3 linked regions of the Pelodiscus sinensis genome follow. The protein of the gene in region 1 interacts with the protein of each later gene in a biochemical or structural test. Links are inferred from orthologs where the notes say so. Each region holds a gene or a part of one and is shown on either strand. Other genes may lie near its edges.

What was found.
Region 2: of the proteins of LCP2 (region 1) and ZAP70, one has a biochemical effect on the other in vitro, tested with the Homo sapiens proteins (2 studies listed by BioGRID). The link is inferred for Pelodiscus sinensis from reciprocal best matches to the Homo sapiens genes LCP2 and ZAP70.
Region 3: the proteins of LCP2 (region 1) and ITK form a complex in vitro, tested with the Homo sapiens proteins (2 studies listed by BioGRID, with this or other methods). The link is inferred for Pelodiscus sinensis from reciprocal best matches to the Homo sapiens genes LCP2 and ITK.

What each region holds. Positions count from the first base shown.
Region 1 is NC_134727.1:6,090,367-6,098,274, reverse strand, and holds the start of LCP2 (lymphocyte cytosolic protein 2), read right to left. Parts: upstream 3,334-7,908; 5' UTR 3,082-3,333; coding exon 3,004-3,081; intron 1-3,003. UniProt on the Homo sapiens protein: Adapter protein primarily involved in signaling pathways within T-cells, as well as other immune cells such as platelets, mast cells, and natural killer (NK) cells.
Region 2 is NC_134729.1:26,548,071-26,556,520, reverse strand, and holds the start of ZAP70 (tyrosine-protein kinase ZAP-70), read right to left. Parts: upstream 3,462-8,450; 5' UTR 3,258-3,461; intron 1-3,257. UniProt on the Homo sapiens protein: Tyrosine kinase that plays an essential role in regulation of the adaptive immune response. Regulates motility, adhesion and cytokine expression of mature T-cells, as well as thymocyte development.
Region 3 is NC_134727.1:39,218,219-39,226,357, reverse strand, and holds the start of ITK (tyrosine-protein kinase ITK/TSK), read right to left. Parts: upstream 3,544-8,139; 5' UTR 3,380-3,543; coding exon 3,242-3,379; intron 1-3,241. UniProt on the Homo sapiens protein: Tyrosine kinase that plays an essential role in regulation of the adaptive immune response. Regulates the development, function and differentiation of conventional T-cells and nonconventional NKT-cells.

The sequences.
Region 1 (7,908 bases):
TTGTTTCCTCTTAATGGTGATCTAAAACCCTGTGCACCAGTTAAGATATGTGCTTTCCTGATTAGTCTGCTGAATTTGGATTTAAATTTAGTTCTCAGTAATGATAAGATCTGTCTAATTTAAGATATCTCAAGATCTTGGTTTCCTTCTACTACACAGCTAGGCAGGAACAAAACAGTTGGAACTAGAACACTGCAAAGTTGGTGGTTTCACTTCTCAGGCCCACCAGCGAACGTTTGCTTTGGTTTTGATCTGTGTGCCTTTGCTACCCATGAACTCCACTTTGCATTTTGGTTTTGAACTTGTCCCAGCTCCCCCAAACGAAACCCAGTGAAAGCGATTGAAACCATGAATTTTGCATGGTTTCAATACCAAATAATAAACTGTCCCCGGTTGATCATATCCACTTGAAACTGGGTTGCTGAAATGGTGCGAAAGTCTTCACAAACCTTTTGGATTGACCTTTCTGCACTGTAATGAAGGTTTTGGAATTTGTTGTGAACATGCACTATAGTCAGCATGGTAACACAAGTAAGTGTAGATGACTATTAAAATCTGGGGGAAATGATGGAAAATGAATGTACAACTGAATATATTTAAGATGCTGTAAAAATGGACCAAACTCAACATTTACCTATAGCCTATGCAGTTTTCCTAGCATCAGTGAGATACCAGGGAGCAAATCAGCACTGAGTTTTGCCTATTCTTTTAGAATCATAGAATCCCAGGGTTGCAAGAGACCTCAGGAGGTCATTGAGTCCAGCCCCCTGCCCAAAGTAAGACCAATCCCAACTCAATCATCCTAGCCAGGGCTTTGTCAAACCAGAACTTAAAAACCTCTAGGGATGGAGATTCCACCACCTCAGTAGGTAGCCTATTCCAGTATTTCACCATCTTCCTAGGGAAATAGTTCTTCCTAAGATCCAACCTAGACCTCCCCCACTGCAACTTGACACTGTTGCTCGTTGTTCTGTCATCTGTCACCACTGAGAACAGCCTCTCTCCAGCCTCTTTGGACCCACTCCCTTCAGGTAGTTGAAGGCTGCTATCAAATCAGGGCTGGCCCACAACATTTTGGCACTTGAGACGGGGAGCTCAAATAACACCTCCTTGTCCCCTCGCGTGGGCCAAAACTTTGAAAGGTCTCAATTCTGCCTTCTTCCTGTTCTACTTCTCTCATGGGACTGCTCTGCTATCTACATATGCATCGGCAGCAGAGACAATTTTCTACACTCTGGGTCCTAGTGACACCCCCTTCTACACTCTGAGTCCTAGTGGCACCGCCCTCCCCACACACACACAGTCTGGAACCTGAGGCGGCCGCCTCAGTTTGCCTCATGATAAGGCCAGCCCTGTATCAAATTCCCCCCATTCTTCTTTTCTGTAGATTAAATAAACCCAAATCCCTCAGCCTCTCCTCATAGGTCATGTGCTCCAGCCCCAGAATCCCTTTTGTTGCCTCCACTGGACTCTCTCCAATGCATCCACATCCTTTCTGTAGTGGGGCCCAGAACTGAACACAATACTCCAGATGTGGCTTCACCAGTGTGGAATAAAGGGGAATAATCACTTCTCTAGCTCTGCTGGCAATGCTCCTACAAATGCACCCCAATACGCCATTTTAAATGCCCCTCCACACCTCGGCGTGCAAAATCCTCTGCTCTGCAAAGTGAAAGTTAAAAGAACCAGCAATATCCAGGCTAGTGCATTTGAGGAAAAGCTATAGATAGAGAAGGGGGGAAGTGTCAGAAGCCCAACCACCTCAGCAGAACAGAACAGATGAGGAAATGAGATGAGGGATCTTTCTGAGATGTGGAGGAAGGTCAGTGGGGATCCTGAGGCAGGAAGAGGCAGTGGGTAGCAGAATCTCTTTTTATTGAAACCTGCCTCTCCAAAGAATTATGATTATCGCTATGGATATTATTATTGGTAAAGGCTTTCAATTTCAAAGACAAAATATCAACACAGGCAATCTACAAATAAAAGCAGCTGCATTGAGCTCGGGAAGGGATAATATTCTATGTATTCTATTTATTTTGGAGGAAAGAATGTTTCTCATTTCTCCCCCTATGCTACAAAGGAATCATTTTCCTTAGGCACAGTTCCTGTCCTCCTCACCCAACTACAACATCACAAGGAAGTGTTCTGCATTGTTTGTGTGAGCTCAACCAGACAAAATCGCTTCCAGGTCTCATTTTCCAGCTAGCATGGGAGTCTTAGTTCATCACCTCACTTCAAAAGGACGGCTGTCCATGACTCAGATCAACTCTCCTTGAATCTGGGCACCCAACTCCCTTCTAAAAACCCCAGTCCAGATGCCAACAAACTCTTTTGTGTGTCCACCTAACCAGGTTCAGCAGCTCTTTTGCTCTGACATCCTTGTTCAAAAGATTGGAACGTCTGGAGCGACCCGTAGATTGAGAATGTCACCTCTGCTAAACACTATCGATTTTAAACCAAGCCCTGTCACATAACAAGCCTTTGTAATGCTAATTAGGAAAGCAATTCAGTCCAGAGCAGAGTTCATGTGTGCATCTTCATTAGTGAGGGTCTTTAATTATGAAAGTCATAGGAATAATTTCATTGGAGAGGCCTTATGAGATCTGCATATAAAACTTTCCTACCTTAAAAAATAGGTTTACTATGTTTAGCTTCCTTAACTCTTAACTTTTACGGATCCAAACTGAATGTAACATAGCAAGGCATTGGTACCAAAGATTATAGCATTTTTTTTTCCCAAGAAACAATTGATTTCTCTTGCTATTAATTTAGAATACATTTTTCAGGATTCATTAAGGACTTCATTAAACCAGGGCAGGTATAATGACTTTCTGAAGTGCATCTGCCATGATTATTCAAAAAAGATGATTTTATATGATGTATGTAGCAAATTCGGCTCTTAGGGTAAAAAGTTTTTTGTGGGGGGAAGAGGGAGCAAGAGCACAGAAGTGTTAAAGCACCTTGCTACTCCTCCATACTAGGACAAAACACAACACAACTTACTTTCTTGAAGTAGTCTGCCAGGTCATCTGGGCTCCAAGCAATCACCATTGAGCGATAGGGAAGGTTTTGTAAATCCATTTCTGTTCTTCTTTCCTAATCAGCTACAGAATTTTCATGCCAGGAGTATTAATGAGAGAGCCATAGATTTCCAGCCTGTGGCTACCTCCAGTAAATTCAACAATCCACTTGCCTAATAAATGCCCCAGGCTTTTGTTAAACCGTCTTGCTTTTTATTTCTGAGTTATGGTGCAACAATATCCAAGAGAGCAACTGCTTCCTCTAAGTACAAAATGGTCTCTTCTCAGAAAACTTGTCAGCGATTCAGTCTCACCACTTCCTTTATCTGAATCTAAATAAGTAAACAAGGAAGCACAGCAACACATTTGAAGTATGCTGCCTACTGAATATAACTGTAATCCTTATGAGCTCTAGTTTGCATGCTTTAATCTGGGGAGCGTGTTGGGTTTTTTTCATGAGATGTCCATACCAGTAGACTGGTACATTGGCTGTGGAGAATTATGTGGGAATGTACACATGTGCATCTATATTCCCACCACCAGAAAAGGCTGTGGGGGTTGGATTCAGTTTGTGCCATCCCTTGAAAACCAAGAAAATGCCTAGTTAAGGGAACCTTCTTTAGCACAACTCAAGGCCTCAAATGTCACATTGATTCCCTCTCTCCCGTACACGTATATCATATGAACATATTACAATGCACACATCAGAATCCTTGTTCTGATTCTCAGGTCTAATTTTAGCAATTGGGGGAGGGATAGCTCAGAGGTTTGAGCATTGACCTGCTAAACCCAGGGTTGTGAGGTCAATCCCTGAGGGGGCCATTTCAGGGTCTGGGGCAAGTCTGTCAGGGATGGCACTTGGTCCTGCCATGAGGGCTGAGCACTGGACTCAATTTGATGACCTCCCAAGGTCTCTTCTAGCTCTATGACATAGGTATATCTCCATATAATTAGCAGTGTGGCATTCTCATATGCTTACTCCAGCTTGCTGGGGGGGGACAGACAAAGGGAGCAGTTGCCCTGGGGGGGCTGGTGATTTAAAAAGGCCTCTGAGGCTCCCTGCCATTGCAATGCTCCAGGCCCTTTTAAATGGCTGCCGGCATCCCAAACCATGCAGTCTGGGCAGCGCAAAAAGGGCCGATGGAGGGAGACTAACTACCAGTCTGCACCTCCCACCCAAGGCCCTACCCTGCCCATTCCTGGAGATGCCTGTGTTGAGCCCCTACTCCCTTTTCCAGGGGACTGGCATTTCTGTCCTCAGCTCTGTATTTATGACCCGTATATGGCATAAGGTTTGCACAGGATGTCTCTCCTGGGGACAGTTGGAGGACAGTGCAAAGGTTTTCCATTACTGTGTGTGTAGGAACTCTAGGAACTCAACTTAGGGTTGCCAGGTGTCTGGTATTCTACCGGATAGTCCAGTATTTGCACTCTTTGTCCAGTAAACAACATCAGGGAATACCGGGCATGTGCAACGTCCGGTATACTCTGAATTTTCCGGATGTGCACTGGACGGAAACCTGGCATGGGCAGGGGGTTGGCTAGAAGGCGGGGCCACGATTGGCGCTGGGAGCCTGTGATTGCACAGAAGCCTGACAGGGGCGGGGGGAATGGCTGGGAGTCCCAGCCCCTCCCCGTCCTCCACAAGGCTTCTGTGCAATCACAGGCTTCCAGCGCCAATCGTGGCCCCGCCTCCCAGCCTGGAAGTCCCAGCTAGGAGGCAGGGTTGTGATTGCCTCTCTGGGTGCCCCAGAACGGGAGGAGGGAGGGCTTATTATCCCTTGTTCCTCTTTTTTTTTTTTTTTTTTTTTGCTCGACCAAAAAATACCACTTGTCCGGTATTTTTTGGGAGACCATCTGGCAACCTTAACTCAAATTTAGTTATGGAGGTTGTGAGGGGGCATCTGCCTGCACTGGTTATTTAAGGGCTAAAACCCAGCCCTGGAAGAGGGCTGGAGCTGTGGAGCAAGCAGCGGAAGCATATGGCAGCCAATTCGGGCCCAGCTGGGGCTGTATAAATAAGGGCTCCTGGAGGGAGGACACAGAGACACTCTTGCTCCAGCTGGGGAGAAGGAGGGACCTGGCTGCAAGGGAAGCTGGGGGCTTCCTGAGACAGAGCAGGGCTGGGAAGAGGCAGGCAGAGCTGGGGAGCTCTGGCCGAACCTCACTCGCAAGCCACAGGGCCTGAGACAAGGCCTGAAGATACTAGGGCTGTAGTTAGTGCAGGGCTGGGGAAAGGCAAGCAAGGTGGGGAGCTCTGGCCAGGCAAGCTTCCAGGTGGCAGAGCCTGTAGCAAGGCCTGAGTGTACTAGGGCTGCAGAGAAGCAGGTAAGCAGAAAAGGGCAGGCAAAGGCAGCAGGTCCACACCCCCCTTGCCAATTATCAGACTGCAGCTTGCCCCTGAGGTAAGGGGCTAGATGAAGACTGGCAGTGAGTCACTGAGGGAAGGAGGGCATAGGGGGTTGAGGTTCCCGGGGGGAGGACCTCAAAGTGCAGAGACACAGGGAGACACTGGCCAGAAGGGGGCCCCAGAGTGCAGAGACATGGGGAGACACCAGCCAGAAGGGGGCACTCCAGCATCAAAAAGCTAATTCCCAGAGGGTATCCCAGCCGTTATTTCGAAATAACTGTATTACCGTCTACACGAGCCAACTGCTATTTTGAAATTAATTCAAAATAGCGGAGGGCTTATTTTGAACTTGGTAAACCTCATTCTACTAGGAATAGCGTCAATTTCAAAATTGCTATTTCGAAATAAGCGCTGTGTGGACACGGAAAAGGGGCTATTTCAAAATAGGGGGCTTCCAGCCCTTCCCAGAGTCGCTGCTGGCCACTCTGGCCCCAACCAGGAAAACTCCTCTCCTCCCCTTCTCCCTGGAGCCCTTAAAGGGGTAGAGTCTGGCCACAGTGCCTGTGCTAGCTCCTGGCCTGCCAGCCCAGAGCCAGTATTTGCTGCCCCTGACCCAGTGGCCCAAACATGAGCCAGCAAGCAACTGGCAGCCATCTCTTCACCACTCCTCAGGACCAGTCTGCCAGCTCTCAGGAGCCTGCCAGGGGCCTGAAAAGGTGGGCGCCTTCCTGGTCCAGTGCGGAGATCATGGACCTGACTGAGGTTTGAGGGGATGCCTCCAACCTCCATGATCTCTGCACTAGATGGAGGAACACGGCCGTCTACAGCCGGATGGCTGCCAGCCTGGCCACCAAAGGCCACATCCAAACCCAGGATCGGGTCTGGATGAAAATTAAGGCGCTGCGGCAGGCATATGCCAGGGCCACAGGGGGCAGTTCCCCTTCCTCCCCTTGTCTCCCCCTTCCAACTCCCTCCTCCCACATTTCCCCCTCCCCTTCTCGCTTCTCCTCTCCCACCTTCTTTGCCCAGTCTCACCTGAGTTTCATGCCCCCCACCCCAGTTTTGTTCAATAAAGAGAGTTTGTTTTCTTGAATACATGTGTCTTTTACTGTACAGCAGGAAGGTGGGTTAAGGACGGGTCCATGGAAGGACATGAGAGAGGAATGAGGCTCAAGCCCACAGTGGGGCACACCAGGGAGTCTTTTAGTGCTCATTCAGGTAGAAGCTCTCCCGCAGGGCCTCCCAGATACAGACAGCCTCCTGATGGGCCTCCCAGATGGCAGCCATGTGGGGCTGCATGTACAGGCTGGCCAAGTGATCGGCCTCTGCCATCCAGGCTGGAAGGAAAGCCTCCCCCTTTCCCTTGCACAAATTATGCAGCACACAGCACGCTGCCACCACATGCAGAATATTCCACTCTGAGAGGTCCAGGAGGGTGAGGAGGCATCTAAAATGGGCCTTCAGCTGGCCAAAGGCACCCTCCACTATGATACGGGCCCTGCTGAGCCTGGCATTAAATGCCTGTCGGGAAGGGTTCAGGTGTCCCATGTAGGGCTTCATAAGCCAGGACTGTAGGGAATAGGCCACATCCCCCACCAGGCAGACAGGCATGTCCACATCTCCGACCCTGATGTGGTGGTCAGGGAAGAAAGTTCCGGTGTGTGGCCTCTGGCACACAGAGGAGTTGAGGTAGACCCACGCATCATGTGCTCTGCCGGACCAGCCCACATCAGTGTCCATAAAGTGGCCCAGGTGGTCAGAGACAGCCTGCAGGATAACGGAAATGTATCCCTTCTGGCTGATGTAGAGGGAGGCCTGGTGTTCCGGGGCATGGATGGGGATGTGTGTCCCATCAACAGCCCCCCTGCAGTTGGGGAAGCCCAGGGCGCCAAACCTCTCGATGACCGTGTCAGCATCGGCAAGGTGGATGACTCTGCGGAGCAGCCTTGACCACACGCAGAAGGACACACAAAAACGGGAGTCACTGAGGTGCCAGGCTGGATGAGAGTGCTCCTTCCCCTTCAAAAGCGAAAATGGCGATCGGGGCTTTTTTTGCGCAAAACCGCGTCTAGATTGGCCATGGACGCTTTTCCGCAAAAAGTGCTTTTGCGGAAAAGGGTCCTTGCCAATCTAGACACTCTTTTCCAAAAATGCTTTTAACGGAAAACTTTTCCGTTAAAAGCATTTCCGGAAAATCATGCCAGTTGAGATGTAGCCAAACACTGTCAAATTAGGTGTAAAACTGTAATAGGAAAAGCAAAAAAAGATTTTGAGGAACAGCTAGCCAAAAACTCAAAAAACAATGACAAAATGCTTTTAGGTACGTTAGAAGCAGGAAGCCTGCTAAAAAACCAGTGGGTCCACAGGACAATCGAGATACAAAAGGAGCAATCAAGGCTGATAAAGACATTGCGGAAAAGCTAAATGATTTCTTTGCATCAGTCTTCACGGCTGAGGATCTTGGGGAGATTCCCAAACCTGCACCGTCTTTTGTGGGAGATTAATCTGAGGAACTGTCCTGGATTGAAGTGTCATTAG
Region 2 (8,450 bases), on another chromosome or scaffold:
TGGCCACTGCAGGTTGCCTAGATGCCTGGCAGCGGGTCGCTGAGGCAAGGGGGGTGCAGGGGCGTGATGAAGTGGGGATTATGTTCGCTCTGTTCTGTTGCATGGTGGTTTCTACTGTCCTATGTGTGTGTGCCTCGGTTTCCCTGAGCACTGCATCGCTATCTAGATGGGGATGGGAATTCCAGGTGTGGCTCACTGCCCAGCCTGGCACCATCAGTGGTCCAGGCTCACTGTAACATTCACCTGGGGGGGGGGCAGGTGACACCTTTTGCTTGGGGAGCCGCACAGAGGAGGGGGCGGGGCTGCCTGCAGGCTGGGGCCGGTTGCTGGGTGTGGGGGTGAGTCTCGGCTGGCTTAGGATGCGGGGGGGGGGCTGGGACCCCCCCAAGCTGGGCTGCACTGGCTGCGTCTGGTCCCTGCGCTGACAAGTCTGAGCTGCGCTGTGTCCCTGAGAACTAAGAAACCTGAGAGCCCCATCTGGCCGCGGCTGGGGGGGCAGGGCCCGGGGACTCCCCACCCCTCGGTGACAGGGGGATAGGGGGTCCCTGCGGGGTGACTCTGGGGGGGGTCAGTGCCCCGAGGGGGGGCGCCGTGGTCTGGGAGGGATGCGGCTCCTACTGTCAGGTGGCAGAACCCGGCCGGAGGGGCGCTCCAGCGCTGAGGGTGCCAATTCCCAGCGTGACCAGCAGGAGGCGCCATGGCTGCGCGGGCGCCCGGGTTCCACGCACTGCGCGGTGAAAGGCCCGTTGTGCTGGCCAAGGCAGACGTCTCTCGGGCATGTAGCCGGCCCCGTCGCTGGAGGAGCCAAGCACCTCCCGAGCTCTCTCAGCAGCCCTGGAGGGCAATGCAGGGCTGTTCTCTCCTACTGTGCCTCGGGCCGCTCAGGGCAGAGCAGGGAATTGGACCTTGGCTTCCTGAAACCCAGGCTGCTGCTCTAACCACTGGCCCTCCCTCCCCTAGGAGCTGTCCTTCCGAGGGAGCCGCTCGATCCCCTTTTCTCCTGCTGGGAGAAGACGCCACGTGAACCTCGTTCACCCCGCCCCCCTCCCGCTTGCGTTCCAGACTGACCTCGCTTGGACCTGGGCGTGCGCCATCGGGCAGCAGCGAAGCCCGAAGCCCCAAGCGCCGTGCAGCAGAGTCTGGTCTAAACACACCCTGCCACTGACAGGCCACGAGCGAGAGCGTTCCACGGAGCCGCCGTGGCCTTTTGCTCTGTTACAAACCCCTCCCGTCCCCCCATCTTCAGAACTCTGCAGCGCTGCCCTTAGGCCGTGAGGTTACCCTGCCCGCTTGGTACGTCTAGACCCTGTCAAACGGGAGCTTGACCAGAGCCTGCAAATGAACGAAGGAGCCATGAGGAACGGGGGAGACGGGCACCCGGGGAACAAAGCGACGTGCCGCCGAGGTCGCTGGACGGGCCGCGGGTCGCAGTCTGGCTCGCGCTCCGTGAGGGCAGCGGGGTTAGCAGCGGCACTCCCCCGTCGGTGATTCCGCACCCGCCTCACCGACTCTGGCCGCTGCCCTGCCCCTCGCTGCCATAGGGCTTCACCCGGCGGGGCAGCAGCAAGTCCCAGCGTCCCTCCTCTCTCCCCAGGAAACGGCTCAGCTCTGCCCTCCGAGGTGCAAAATGGTTCTGGCTCCAGGGCCTGGCCAGGCCTTGGGCTCTCCGCTTCCTGCGCGACTGGCCCGGCTCGGGGGGCCCTTGCTAAGAGATTTGTTGCCCTGCTGGAGCCAAGTCGACCTTTCCAGACCTTGGCTGCCCGAGGGCTGCCTGGCGTACCCAGCGCAAAGCCTGACCTAGAGCCCCAGGGCAGGCAGAGACCCCAAGCAGGACCAGCCCCAACTCCATCAGCCCGGCCAGGGCTGTGTCCAGCCGGGACTTAAACACCCCTAGGGACAGAGATTCCCCCCCTCCCAGGGAAATAGTTTTTCCTAATATCCAATCTAGCCCCCCCCCCACTGCACCTTGAGCCCATTGCTCCTTCTTCTGCCACCTGCCCCCACTGAGACCAGCCTCTCTCCATCCGCTTTGGACCCCCCCTTCAGGGAGCTGCAGGCTGCTCTCAAATCCCCCCTCACTCTTCTCTTCTGCAGACTGAACAAGCCCAAATCCCTCAGTCTCATGACTCTTAACCTGTGTCCCAGGCACATCCAGTTTCCAGGCTAACTCCCCAGTGGGCCAACTGCTCGTAACAGGTCCCAGGCCCGTTCCATTGGTGCGCAGAGGCAGCAGCGGAGAGAGGCAGCCTATAGGGTCCCAAGGTCCTGAAAAAGCCAAGCCCATCGGCTGGACACGCTAAGACGGAACTCGACCGCGGCTTCGAGCCTGTTTGCTCCGACGTTCCGGATTGCTCACTTGCGAGGCCAAAGCATGAACACAATGCCAGTGGGCCACAGAGGAGCCTCCCCCGGGGGAGAAAGGCGACTGAACTGACAACACACACAAATCAGGCAGAGGTGGCAAATATTCGAGCTCACCTAACCCCTGCTCCCGGCCAAGACAGAGCCCTTCCCTCTGCGCTTCTCTCCCGTTCTTTGTCCTGATCTGCTTACAGCTGACCCACGCGGTGGGGTCTCCAGAGCCTCCCTCGGGGGCTTTGTCCACCCTCTGACAGATCTGGCCATTAAAAAAGGCTCCAATTTCCTTTGCTCCACTTTGTTCTATAGCCCCCCGGACCATGCCCAGACTGACAGGGCTTTGCAGTGGTGCCCGTGTTTGCCAGACAAGTGCAGGGCAAGATGACATGGATGACAAAGGAACAAAGGGGAATGGTGAAAATTTGCCAACAGCCTGTCTTGTGGGGCGTCTTGGGCGCTGAGACTTGGCCCTGATCCGCTCTGTACTTGACGGGGTTCGTAAATGTCAGGGAAGCTTAACCACGCTCTCCTTCCCATGTGGCTAACAGGGGCCAGGGGTGCTGGCTACATCCCCCCTGGCCACGGGTGCTGGGAGAGAGGTTCTGGAGGTGGCTCCGGGGGTGGAAAAGTTTGAGCCGCCCTGGCGAACAGGATGTCAGACCATTTAACCACCATCATGAGTCTAACTGCCCCCAGCTTTCTTCTGCTCTGGTCTTCCGTTCCGCTCATGAAATCCAGAGTAACCCTGGGCAAAACTGGGCCCACAACTGGATTTAGACTCAGGCCTTGCGCTGTGGCCATCAGCAGGCCCCCGGCGCGCTCAGGATGCATAGAAAGAAGAAGAGAAGGGACGCCAGCAGCGGCATGAAGGACCGAGCGAGTCCCGCACGGCAGCTTACCTGGGCTTGCAGACGGGGCGAAGGGCTCGGCTGGTCCCTTACATCAAAGGCATGGTGAGAGGGACCGATATTCCCGGGCATGCATGTGCCGTGGCGCTTTTGGAAGCGAGCAGGAGGGAAACGGGCCACGTCCTGTCCCCTGTGCTGACTGACATTGACAAACCCCCGCGTACGGGCTGTTTGAAATGTGACCTATTTCCTTGTTGCAAAGACAGGAAAGCAAAGACGAGAGAAAAACTCTGCAGCTCTGAAGGGGGCAAAAGTTCTCAGAACCCGCCTGATCTGGTTGCATAGCTGCCTGTTGGGCGGTGGGACAACCTCAAATGAGGGAGGTAAAGAAACTCGGTTCTCCTAAGCAAGTGCAGGGCTGGGGGAGTGGGGCCTTGGCTTTTGGTCCAGTGCACCTCGGGAGACACGCCATGAGCTGCACGCGGATGTTGGAGTCCGTCCGCTTCCTCGGCCTCCTGCCATTAGAGCTGCCTGGGCACAATACAGCCTGTAGGCCAGATCCGGCCTGCCCCGCCATCGGATCCAGCCCATGGACTCTGCCCCAGGCAGGCTCCTGCTTGCCTCGCCCCACCCGCACGCGCTCCAAACCGCCGCTCTGGGCGGTTTTTCTTTAAAAACTGAGAGTCTGGAGGGGAGGGGGAAGCTTTAGCAGCTGCTACCATCCCCAGCACAATGCCATTATCCGGTGTCTGGCCAGAAACCAGCCAAGGGGAGTGGCCTGTTTCAATAACAGGCAGCCACGAAGCACAAGGGGCTCCAGAGCACATGGCTGCAGCCTGTGGGGGCGGGGCAGGTGGCAGTGGTCCCTCTAAACTGCTTCAGAGGGGATTAATCAGCCCTGCCCAGCCAGAGGCTCAGGGCTAACTGGGGGAGGCTGATGAATCACCCATGAAGCTGGGCTGCTCCCGCAGATTAGAGGGAACACTGGCTGGCAGGGAGGCTGATTTCAGGAATGGGCTGCTGGCTGGTAAGTCTCGTGGCCAGACTCTGCCTCTGGCACCCCAGGCCCTCCCTTCCCCAACCCCCAGCCCCCCACTCCTGGCCTCTACTCCACATACCCAAATCCTCTGCCCCCCTCCTGCACTCATATCCCCTGCTCCAGATCACAGTCCCTAGCTCACAACCCAACTCCCTGCATCCCCTCCTGTACCCCAATTCCCTGCCCTAGGTCACAATCCAGCCCCCAGTCCCCCAGTCCAGTGCCCCAGGCCACAACTGCCCCCTTCACCCAAACTCCCTCCCTTACCCCAAGCTCCCTTCTGCACCCGACCTCCATCCCAGACCCCGCACCTCCTCCATTCATATCATGGAAGGGTGCAGCCCTCGGCCACTGTCCACATTCTTGGAGGGCCCCCTGTCAAAAATTATTGCCCCCCCCCCCCGCCCTAGAGGGAAGCACAGCTCTGAATGGCTCTCACAAGAGGGCAGTGGTCACATAGTCCCTCCCTCCGTGTGCAAACCTGCCTGGGCCTTCCTGGCACCAGCGTGGTCGGCCTCCTCCCGGGTGTGGTTTCTGCCTGTTTAAAGGGCAGGGGTTGAGATTCACTGAACCTGGAGGGAGGTATCACAACCTCCCTGCCCTTCTCAGACAGGTGCAAGCTGGATCCCAGCTAGATTTGGAGGGTGATTCTGGGGGGTGTCCCCTGTGAAGACAGGGTGCAGGCAGGGCTGGATGGAGGCATGGGCGAGCCGCGCAGCTGCCCAGGGCGCCAACCGATGGGGGGTGCCTGATGGCAGCTGTAAGGGGCGTGCGGCGTCCCGCGCGCCCAACTCCCGCAGTGATGGCCCGCCCACATCTCCGCGGTGCCGGCCAGCAACGCTCTTCCCCTCTATGGCCGCAGGGCCCTACATGGCCCAGTGCATGCGCCAGCAGCAACAACTGGGCCAGACTGGGCCGCGCTTGCACTGTGCACCCTAGGGGCAGGCCCTGGGCTGTGCACCAGCGGGTGTAGCCGGGCCGCGCATGTGCCATGGGCCCCAGGGACAGGCCCGGGCTGCACGTCAGCAGCTGTAACCAGGCCACGCATGCGCCGTGCGCCCCAGGGGGTGAGCCTGCGCTACCTAGGGAGGTGGGCCCGCTCCCCAAGGGCGAGCTCGCGCATACGCTGTGAGCCCCAGGGGCAGCGCCGTGCGCCCATGCCCGGGGTGCCAGAATACCTCGGGCCGTCCCTTGGTGCAGGTGTGGGAAACATCAAGGCATAGCAGTCGGAGGGTTAATCCACTGAGGCTACGTCTACACAGCAGCATTATTCCAAAATACCAGAGTCCGCGTCTGCACCGCAAGCCGTTATTTCGACATGATGTCGAGCTGGACGACTTCTCACTCCGACTCCCGTAACCCTCACTGTGCGAGGAGGAAGGGAAGTTGGCAGAAGAGGGCGCTAACTCGGACTTCCTGCTCTGTAGACAGCACCAAAAGCCGAAATGAGCTATTTGGACTTAGCTGAAGTTTTGTGGCTGATTCCAGCTTTAGCCCTGCTGTTTAGACGTGCCCAGAGAGGTTTGTAACGTGTTTTCAGATCCTCGGCCGAGCGAAAGGTGAAATAGAAGATAAAGCATCTGATGAACCGATTGCCCCTGAATGTTGTTCCCCTTCCCCTCACGGGGTTCTATTGACAGCTTCCAATCTGGGATTTCTTGTCTTACGTTTCATTCTGCAGCAGTATGAGATTGTTCCCACTCATCTATATTAACGGTTTAACGTTGCACACAGGACAGCCACGCTGCATGCCCTCCCCACTCGGAACGTCCTACCCCAGATCTCTCCGCTTCCAAGCCAAATTGCACTTAAGCTAACGGGAAGCCTAAATGGGAAGCCAGGGAAATATCATGGTAGTAGAGGACAAGGGCTCTCAACCTTTGCAGGCTACAGTACCCCACGTAGGAGTCCAATTTGTCTTGCATACCTCCCCCGTTACACCTCACTTCAGAACTACTTGCTTACAACATCACACATAAAAATGCAAATGTGCCACAGCATGCTGTTACTGAAACATTGCTCACTTCTTTATTTTTACCATATAATTATTTTAAAAATCAATTGGACTTCTATACATTTTGTACTTACATTTCAGTTAGGGGATGTCTACACTGCAGCCTATTTCGGAATAGGGCTGCAAATGTAGGTATTCGGAATTGCAAATCAAGCCTGGGATTTAAATATCCTGTGCTTGATTTGCATCTTCCCGGCCAGGCGCCGTTTTTGAAATTTACAAGCCCAGAACAACTGCCCGTGTCTACATGCAGCAGTGAAACGGGTGTTTGAAATAAAGCCCTAGTTTGAACTACCTGTTAAACCTCATTGCAGGAGGAATAACAGGTAGTTCAAACTAGGGCTTTATTTCGAACACCCGTTTCACTGCCGCGTGTAGACGCGGGCAGCTATTCCAGGCTAGTAAATTTCAAAAAATGGTGCCCAGACGGAAAGATGCAAATCAGCCATGGGATATTTAAATCCCATGGCTCGATTTGCAATTCCGAATGCCTACATTTGCAGCTCTATTCCGAAATAGGCTGCAAGTGTAGACATACCCTTAGGCTATGTCTACACTGGCCCCTTTTCCGGAAGGGGCATGTTAATTTCAGCGATCGTAATAGGGAAATGCGTGGGGGATTTAAATATCCCCCGCGGCATTTAAATAAAAATGTCCACCGCTTTTTTCCGGCTTTTAGAAAAGCCGGAAAAGAGCGTCTACACTGGCCCCGATCCTCCGGAAAAAGCGCCCTTTTCCGGAGGATCTTATTCCACTTTGAAGTAGGAATAAGATCCTCCGGAAAAGAGCGCTTTTTCCGGAGGATCGGGGCCAGTGTAGACACTCTTTTCCGGCTTTTCTAAAAGCCGGAAAAAAGCGGCGGACATTTTTATTTAAATGCCGCGGGGGATATTTAAATCCCCCGCGCATTTCCCTATTACGATCGCTGAAATTAACATGCCCCTTCCGGAAAAGGGGCCAGTGTAGACGTAGCCTTTAGAGTGTAAAAAAGTCATGCTCTGTATGAAATTTTCATTCGTGCTAGCTTGGAGAGTGCTTCTTATGTAGCCTGTAGGCCAGTGGTCACCAACCAGTCGATCGGGATTTACCAATCGATCTTGGAGCCTCTGACAGGGGATCTGACTGGTTTGGCTGAGAGGCTGTCAAGCACTAGCACTTCAGCTGCCCCTACCCGCACTGCCATGCTGCTCCTGCCCAGAGCCTCAGAGCTGCCCCTAGGAGCCTCTTGCTTGTGGTACAGGGTGGGGGAGACAGAGGCAGGGGGCACTGATGTCTCTCTGTCCCCCTCTCCTGTCCCCCATCTTCACAGAGTGAGGCAGGCGGGGCCTCTGTGAAGGGGTGGAGCAGGGGTATTTGGGTTTGAGGTAGATCTTGGGCTGACTTAAATTCAAAAAGTGATCTTGTGCTTAAAAGGGTTGGAGACCCCTGCTGTAGGCAAATACCTAGGCGAGTTGATGTGCCCTCTGGAAGATGTCTGCATACCCCCAAGGGGTGCGTGTATGTGGGGGAGCCTGCACTACCCTGCCGTGGCAGTACATGGTGATGTCTGCTTTGTCCACAGTGCAGATTTCTGGCCTGTTTCAAGCCTGGGGCGCCGAAGCACACAGGCACGGGGAGCTCTGAGAGTCAGGAAGTGTTTGGAATAGCAAAGCAGATTAAGTATCAGAGGGGTCGCCGTGTTAGTCTGAATGTGCAAAAGCAACGAGGAGTCCCGTAGCACCCTAACATGCGTGTGAACAAGTGGGTCGTTGCCCACGAAAGCTTATGCGCCAATACTTCCGTTAGTCTAGAAGGTGCCACAGGACTCCTCGCCAAAGCAGATTACGCGTGTGTCACGTGATTGGGTTTTAAAGTGAGTGGACAGGTCACGGCTGCACCCACGGGGGGGTGCCCCCAATTTGGTACAAAGTGTCCATGTGAGGTGTCAAAGGGAGGCGTACGCTCTGCTGATTCGATGTGTGACACGCCTGTGCTTGGGTGACGTCTGTCTGTGGAGTTATGAATATGGGCTCTGTACTGGTTCCCTGTCGGGGAGGGAGCCATGGGCCTGGACTGCCTGTTGTCCAGGAGGAAGGACTGGTCAGTGACTGGCTGTGCTAGCTAGCACTGCTGATGGACAATGGCTCTCGGAGCATGCCTGAGGGATGCGTCTGGAAGGCTGCAGACCAGCCAGTGCCTCGTGGCTGCCGGC
Region 3 (8,139 bases), about 33 Mb from region 1:
ATGCCTCCGTCGACGGAGGCATGTAGATTAGCCAGATCGGAAGAGGGAAATGAAGCCGCGATTAAAATAATCGCGGCTTCATTTAAATTTAAATGGCTGCCCCGATCTGCCGATCAGCTGTTTGTCGGCAGATCGGGAGAGTCTGGACGCGATGCCCCGACAAAGAAGCCTTTCTTCATCGACACAGGTAAACCTGGTTTCACGAGGCTTACCTGTGTCGATGAAGAAAGGCTTCTTTGTCGGGGCATCGCGTCCAGACTCTCCCGATCTGCCGACAAACAGCTGATCGGCAGATCGGGGCAGCCATTTAAATTTAAATGAAGCCGCGATTATTTTAATCGCGGCTTCATTTCCCTCTTCCGATCTGGCTAATCTACATGCCTCCGTCGATGGAGGCATGGAGTCTGGACACAGCCCAGGTGTGTGCAGTCCCACTGGAATCCGTGGGGCCACTTGTGCACTTACCACGTCTGCTCTCTGTGCTTTGCTTCAAGATCAGGCATGAGCTTCAACTCTTGGCTGGACCAGGACCAGGGTGCATGGTAAGGCCAGAGAAAGGAATGAACTAACACAGTCGATCTTTGGGCCAGGTTTGTAGAGATGTTAAATCTCTGCTCATATGCACCACCAGAGGGTTACAATGGACATCCAAAGAGACCCTCACATTGAGTTCAGAAGACTGGGAAACCATCATGTCAAGCCAGGGTGCTAAAGCCACATTTTCCTACCGCCGGTGAAAAGTAGTGGTGGTGTCGGCCCGGCCCTTGGAAGACTCAGGAGACAAGCGAAGACCAAAAGGGTGGGTAGCATGAGCCACCTTCTCAGCCCTAGAGCTTGTCCCACCAGATTGGAGACCAATGAGGCAATGCCGAAGCCTGCACAGAATTACCTGCTCTGACTGTCATAGATAAGCAAAAGAGTTCATACTTCAGGGCTAACTGGTCCTTATCTGCACTCCTATCTTCATTTTGCACCAGGGAGGTTTATTAATATAATGGACCTGCTAAGACGATTTACACTGGCACAAACCCAATGCTACACAGTGGAGTATCAGGTCCTACAGTTACTGGTATAGCTGTGTGCATGTTGTATATACCTGCCTCCAGGAGACAAACCTAGTGATAGACAATGGCCAACTGTGTCCAGTTCTTTACACCACATTTCAGGAAAGATGGAGAAATTTGAGAGGATCCAGAGAAGAGCAACAAAAATTATGAAAGATCTATGAGCTATGAGGGAGGACTGAAAGAATTGGGTTTGTTTAGAGAAAAGAGAAGACCGAGAGGGGACATGATAGCAATTTTCAAGTACCTAAAATGGTGTTACAAGGAGGAGAGAGAAAAATTGTTTCCCTTGGCCTCTGCTGATAGGACAAGAAGCAATGGGCTTAAACTGCAACAAGGGAGGTTGAGGTTGGACATAGCGAAAAAGTTCCTAACTGTCGGGGTGGTTAAACACTGGAATAAATTGCCTAGGGAGGTTGTGGAATCTCCATCGCTGGAGATAGTTAAGAGCAGGTTAGACAGACACCTGCCAGGGATGAGCTAGATGGTGCTTGGTCCTGTTGTGAGGGCAGGGGACTGGACTTGATGACCTCTCAAGGTCCCTTCCAGTTCTAGGGTTCTAACTCCTCAGCTAGTCTAACTCACTTACTTCAGGGGACAGTGTTATTGACTTAAATGAAGCTATGACAAGTTACTCCGCCGTTGCTCTGGTTCGGCACATTTACATTTGAGGTAAAAGAAGCACGTCCGCTGTGCATGCCAAATACGCTGCAATTATCTTGGCACACTCCGATGTTTGTAAATGGTACAAGGACATATTTTGACAAGTTTGCTTAGATATGTAGCTTGTTACGGCCCTATACGTCGTCCCATTTTTGCCTCATTAGGATTTAGGGCACAAGGGGGTATAATTTTCTAGAGCACTGAAGTGACTTTCACGCTGCTGTCCTGTTCAAAGTCCGTGGGTTTGATGTTCAAAGGTATTTAGGTGTCTCCAAATGCAGATAAATGCCGAATGGGGTTTTCAAAAGTGCCAAGCCAGGTTATGTGCCTGTTAAAGGGAGCTAGGCACCAAAGTAAAGCACATAGAGGGATTTTGAAGAACACCTATCTGCAACTTTTGGCAACTAAATGTCTTTGAAAATCAGACCCAGAGAGACTTAGGTTCCTAAATCAATTAGGCACTTGTGAAAATTGTTCCCATTCTTACTAGGCTACGTAGTTGTATTAACATCTTAACTCTTCAAATGACGACATTTGGACCACAGAATAGACACTCTCAGTCAAACTGAAAATATACATCTTGGATTGCAATAATATATTTTAAAAAATTTAAATATAGTATTTAAAATAAACCACATGCATTTTATGGTGCCTGAATGGATTCTTACAAATTCAAAAGAAACATGGCAGTGCAACTGGAGAGAAACAACACTTACAAGCAGCAATACACCCTTAAAGTCGTGTATTGATGTCCCTGTTTGTAGACCCTGGCAAACAAACTGAGTAAGGTTACAACGGGTGGCTCCAGCCAGTTGTGTGCTTCCATATGCACAAAAGGAGACACGATGGGAGTTTTGCTTTGATAAAAGCACCCATAAAAGGTTGCTAACACACATTAGCTTCTAATTCTTTTCATAGTTTCAGGGCTAGGCATCTGAGATGTGCTTAGTCTGAGTGCATCTGAATATCAGACCCCCTCCTACAGCCTACTCCCCGAAACAACTGACCCCGTTAGAACCTGACCTCGAGAGTTTTGATTAACAAACATGGAGTCCGTCATGCAGAGAACCATCCTTCTACTGGAGCTGAGTGTCTGCCCAGTTCCAATTTGTTTGGTCTGATTTTCTATATGCAATTAAAACGTATGGCGAGAATCCCTGTTACCCAACTTTATAACTTTGATCAAAACATGCCCCGAGCTACAGCACTATCCATTTGAATTGCCTAGTACACAGTCAGTTAGGCATCTTGGAGGGAGGCAGGTATTCAGACCGCGCTACGTTTCTTTGCTCAAACCAGGTTTGATCCTCCATTCCTTCGACACGCCAAACCGCCACTGACCTATGGGGAAGTTTTGGGTGGGCACAGAATGCCATGGAGGGCCCTCCACCAGTAGCTAGTTTAAGTAGATGTTGGGCGCATGGGATTTCACAGCATACACTGTTCCCCCCTCCCGTTCAATACTCTCGACTCACGAGCCTGCAAAAAAACGAGAGAGAAAATGGCTCACGTACCCCATGGCGATGCTCAAAATAAGCCAGCTTGGATTTGGTTAAAACGAAGAAGCGCACTTTGAAGTTGGAGGGAGAGGTCCGTCTCTTCTGCTGGGATTTTTTGATCAGCTGCTCTTCCAGGAGAACACAATTATTCATGGTTCGGCAGGGCACGGCGCTCCTCCCGGACCCCGCACGCCGGTCCCAGACCCGCACTCCAAGCACAAGTCCAGAAAAGAGAAACAAGAAAGAGGGCAGTTGATTTTTTCAACAAAAAAAAGGTGTTTGAAAGGCAGCGTAGGTGCACAAAGCCTTATCTTTCCGTCTGTCATCTAGGCAGCACTGTAGCGCTTCCTTTCTGTCAAAACCGTAACCACATCCTCTCCCAAGTCATCAAGTGAACAGCACATGCTGAAAAATACTCTACGGCGAATGTTGTGGAAAAAATGAAAATGTGATGGGCGCTCTTGACAAATGTGATTTTTCTGTAAAGGCTCGGGGATTAATTAAAAGTTGTGGCATGATTACATAATGGCCCACTCAACCCGCTCTTAGCAAATATAGGGATGTCTGCTCAGGGTGGACTCGGATATAACGAAACAGCATCTTTTTCGTGCTTTGGGGAGGATTTCATACATCCACGTTCCTTGTACAGACGGGTGGTATGGTCTGTGTTACCTCCAGCCTATCTCTCACCTCATGCACTGTACTTAGTGTCATTTGTTTGACGTACAGGTTGAACCTCTGAAATCCGGCACTCTCTGGTCCAGTGCCCGAGAGCCTTCACTAGGCCATGAGCCAGGAGTACAACCCAGGCCAGCCCGGCAGGGAACGCAGCCCCATCCGAGGCTGGGAGCAGAGCCCAGTGATCGGGGCTAGCATTCCAGAGGGTCTGATGGCTGGGAAGGGAGCCTTGACCTCCCTAGTCCGGAAAACTCCCTGGTTCGGAACCTGAGGGTGCCGGACCAAGGAAGTCCAACCTATATTTCAAAGACACGTAGCATGTAACTACAAAGACTCTGACGTGTAGGCATTGACAAATTGCAGATCCGAGCAATTAAAAGCTGGTGTATAAATGAAGTTACATTCATTATATGTGTTATGAGATGCCATACCAATGAAGTTTATTTATATCTTTTCAATATTGTCATTAATGATTATTCATACTAATAACACGGAGCTCTTTTGTAGTGCGTTTTGTCAGTAGATGGCAAAGCGCTTTGGGGAAACTGAGGCAGGGGGCGTCGCAATGACATAACTGCTTACTAATTGCTGAATGTTCCAGATGTGGCCGGGTGGAAGGCAGTCTGTGGGTGAATGTTCCAAGAAAGTGTAGGCAGAATATACATGCTCTAGGTGTATCAAAGTCCATGTAATCTGTGGCAAAGGTACACCTAAATGCTATATCAAGAGCTGTTCATTTCTGTAGCACTGCACTGTGGCTGGACTGGAAAATCGGTGGCAGTTTGAGGTGAATTTAAAGAAAAAGTGAAAGGTTTTGTTACATTAATGTGGAAGTGACTAATACAATCAGTACAACATCCACTGTTTTATTTGACATTAATTGCAATTAATTTTACTCTGCCTCTGAATTTAACTCTGAATTAGGGCTGTGGGATAAGCACTGTGCTGGTTGCTCTTGGCCATTATTTGCCTGTAGATCATTTGAGCAATGCTCACTTTTAAAATGGCACCATTAGGTTCCAGAGTTAATACCAAATTGTGATGAATGGGGAAAGTTCATACCTCTCTTTGAGCTATTCTTTTAGGGTATGTCTACACTATCCTCCTAGTTCGAACTAGGGAGGCTAATGGAGGCATTCGAAGTTGCAAATGAAGCCCAGGATTTAAATGTCCCGGGCTTTATTTGCATCTTCCCGTCTGGGCGCCATTTTTAAATCTCATTAGTCCAAACTAACTGCCTGCGGCTACACGCAGCAGTCAAACGTTAACTCGAACTAACTCCTTAGTTCGAGTTAACGTTAAGTCCTTAGTTCGAATTAATGTTTGACTGCCGTGTGTAGCCGCGGGCAGTTAGTTCGGACTAAGGGGATTTAAAAATGGCACCCAGATGGGAAGATGCAAATAAAGCCCAGGATATTTAAATCCAGGGCTTCATTTGCAACTTCGAATGCCTACATTAGCCTCCCTAGTTCGAACTGGGGCGGTAGTGTAGACATACCCTTAGGCTGTCTGCAAACTCCAGAGGCAATGTTATTTAATGTATGTGCAGAATCAGCACTGATATAAAGGGTGAATTTCATGTCAGGCGCCGAGACAGAAATCAAGGGCCAAATGTTCAGTTTGATTTGCAACGTGGTGCATCTCACACAACTGCACCCCTGCTTTATAGGTGTAAATACCTGCCTGCGTGTTACAGAGTTGTAATGCTTATGCAAAGGCAAGGGTTCAAACTGCTTATTTTGGTGTTTGTGCCTGCAGAGTATATGCCCATAATGTATCATACACCCATATGTAGCAGAGTCTGAAATGTACCCCCAAGGTTTTCTGTCATTTAGGTGTAACGCCGACAGCTGGAACCGAAACTGGGACCTCTGGAGCTTAGAGTATGACCCTCTACAGCAGGCGTGGCAATAATGTTCGTAAGGGGGCCACTTAATGCATGGTCATGGGCTGGCTCCACCCCCAGATGGGGCGGGGCCTGAGGTGGAGGGGGCGGGGCTGGGGACTAGCCCCCAGAGTTATCTGGGCTGGGGGCATTGAATTAAAAACACAGCAAAGGGCTTGTGGCTCTATCCTCTGCCGAGGTAGCACCCCAAGTGGGAGCCGGGAGCCATTTAAATAGGATCCTGCTGCCTGAGCTGCCTCCTGGACGTTTGGTGGCCCAGGCAGCAGGAGATAAATAGAAAGCAGCCAGATGCAGCCCACGGCCGGATTGAAGTGTGAGGTGGGCTGGATTTGGCCTCCAGGCCGCATCTTGTCCAGCCCTGTTCTACAGCCTGAGCTAAAAACCGGCTGACTCTCAGCTAAGGCTGTAGAGAACTAGGACTGGCGGACATGACCGCTTGGGAACTGTTACTGGCTTTGGGCCGGGTTCTGTTCTCATGGGTGTTTTAGCTCCAGTAACCTCACTGGACCGTCTCCTGATTTCCACAGGCAGCCTAAGATCAGAACCAGGCCTCCCATGCCCGGAGGTGCCATAACGCGGCTAGCTCTGATTACTTATTGGCCTCGTTTCGAATTTGTTTCCGGCCAGGCCCCACCACATACGAGATGCGGTCCTGACAGGCCGGGAGGAACATCCATGAGGCGCATCATGCTCTGACTGCAGAGAGAGAAGAGCGAGAAGTAGAAATCTGGCTTCCTTTGAAAAATGACTGTGAGGGACAGCTAGAGGCACGGTTGTCAGTGGCCAAAGTGGATCTTCAAGAAGGACTCCCATGTGGGCGGGGCAGGGGCCTGGAAGAGAAGGCCCACCTCGGCCGGCAGAAGAAGAGGCGAGAAGCTGATAAACAGGCAGCTGAGGGGAATAACACCGGAGGAGCGGGGAGGATGTGGGGGGCGAAGTGACGAGGGTGGTAGATGGGGAGGGCAGACGTGTTTTCAAAGCTTGATTCTGGTGCGATAAGAGCTGGGGCGTCAGTGAGCGATTGGAAGAGAGGGGCGATGAGATCATGTCTGCAGGCAGGCTGGCAGCCGCAGCTTGCATGGTGTAAATAGGCCGGCTTTGGATGGCCCAAAGAGGGAGATAGTGCCAGACCCAAGGGGGTTGAGGGAAGGTCCGAAGTGGGGGCTTGGCTAAGGGTATGGGAGGGAAAATAATGGAGACGCTGAGGAGGAGGAGATGCCAGATTTGGATACGGCCTGGATCTGGAGGAAAGGGAGGCAAAATGAACCCCAAGAGTCATAGAACCCTGGACGTGGTAGGGATCTCGCGTCCAGTCCCCTGCTCTCCCGGCAGGACCAAGCACTGTCTAGATCAGTGGTCACCAACCAGTCGATCGGGATCTACTGGTAGATCTTGGAGCTCAGACAGGGGATCCTGACTGGTTTGGCTTTCAAGCGTTGTCACGTCACTTACGCCTCCCCACGCGGTCACGGTGCCCTCTGTCTTGGAGCTGCCCCCCCGGCAGCCTCCCGCTTGGTGTGGAGAGAGAAGGGGGGGGCGCTGGTGTCAGGATGTCCCTCCTCCCTCCACTCCTGTACCCTATCTCCACACAGTCAGACGGGGATGGAGGGAGCTTGACGATGCAAATCTGTCACTCTCACACCCTGTGTGCGTCTGTCGTTCTCACACACGCACACCATCCTTCCCTCTCCTCTCCCGGCCCAACACACAGGCGGGGGGTTGTTACTGCTCGCAAAGGGGGATAGTTTCGGTGTTTGACTGGTCGGTGCATTTCATCATTTTCATTTCTCTCTCACACGCCGGTGTAATTCTTGGAGCAGCGAGTTCTCAAATGCCGAACCTGCCCTGGCTGGAGTCCCTATCCCCGTGGGAACAGCTGCTCCTGGACGGGGCTGGCATGTGGAGCAGGGGGTCTCCGCATGGTGGCCTGGCCTGCGGACACCGCCCTTGCAGCTCCCGTTGGTCCGTAATGGGGAACCGGGGCCAGTAGAAGCTGTGGGCTCCGTGCCTGTAGATGGGGGCAGCGCATGGCTCCATGGAGTCACTGCTGCACGTGCCAGCTGCTTTGGGGAGCAGTGCAGGGCCGGGGCGGGAGTGAGCCGCCTTAGCCCTGCTGCTCCACCACGTGGAAGCCGTCTCAGTGAAACGGTGCCCAGCCAGAGCCTGCTTCCTGAACCCCTGCCCCCAGCCCCTGCCCCTGAACCCCCTCCTGCCCCCAACCTCCTGCCCCAGACGTGAGTCCCCCTGCACCCAAACTGCTTCCCAGAGCTTGCCCCCTGGATCCCCTCCTGGGCCCCAATCCCCCACCCTGGGCTAAGCCGGGAGCCCC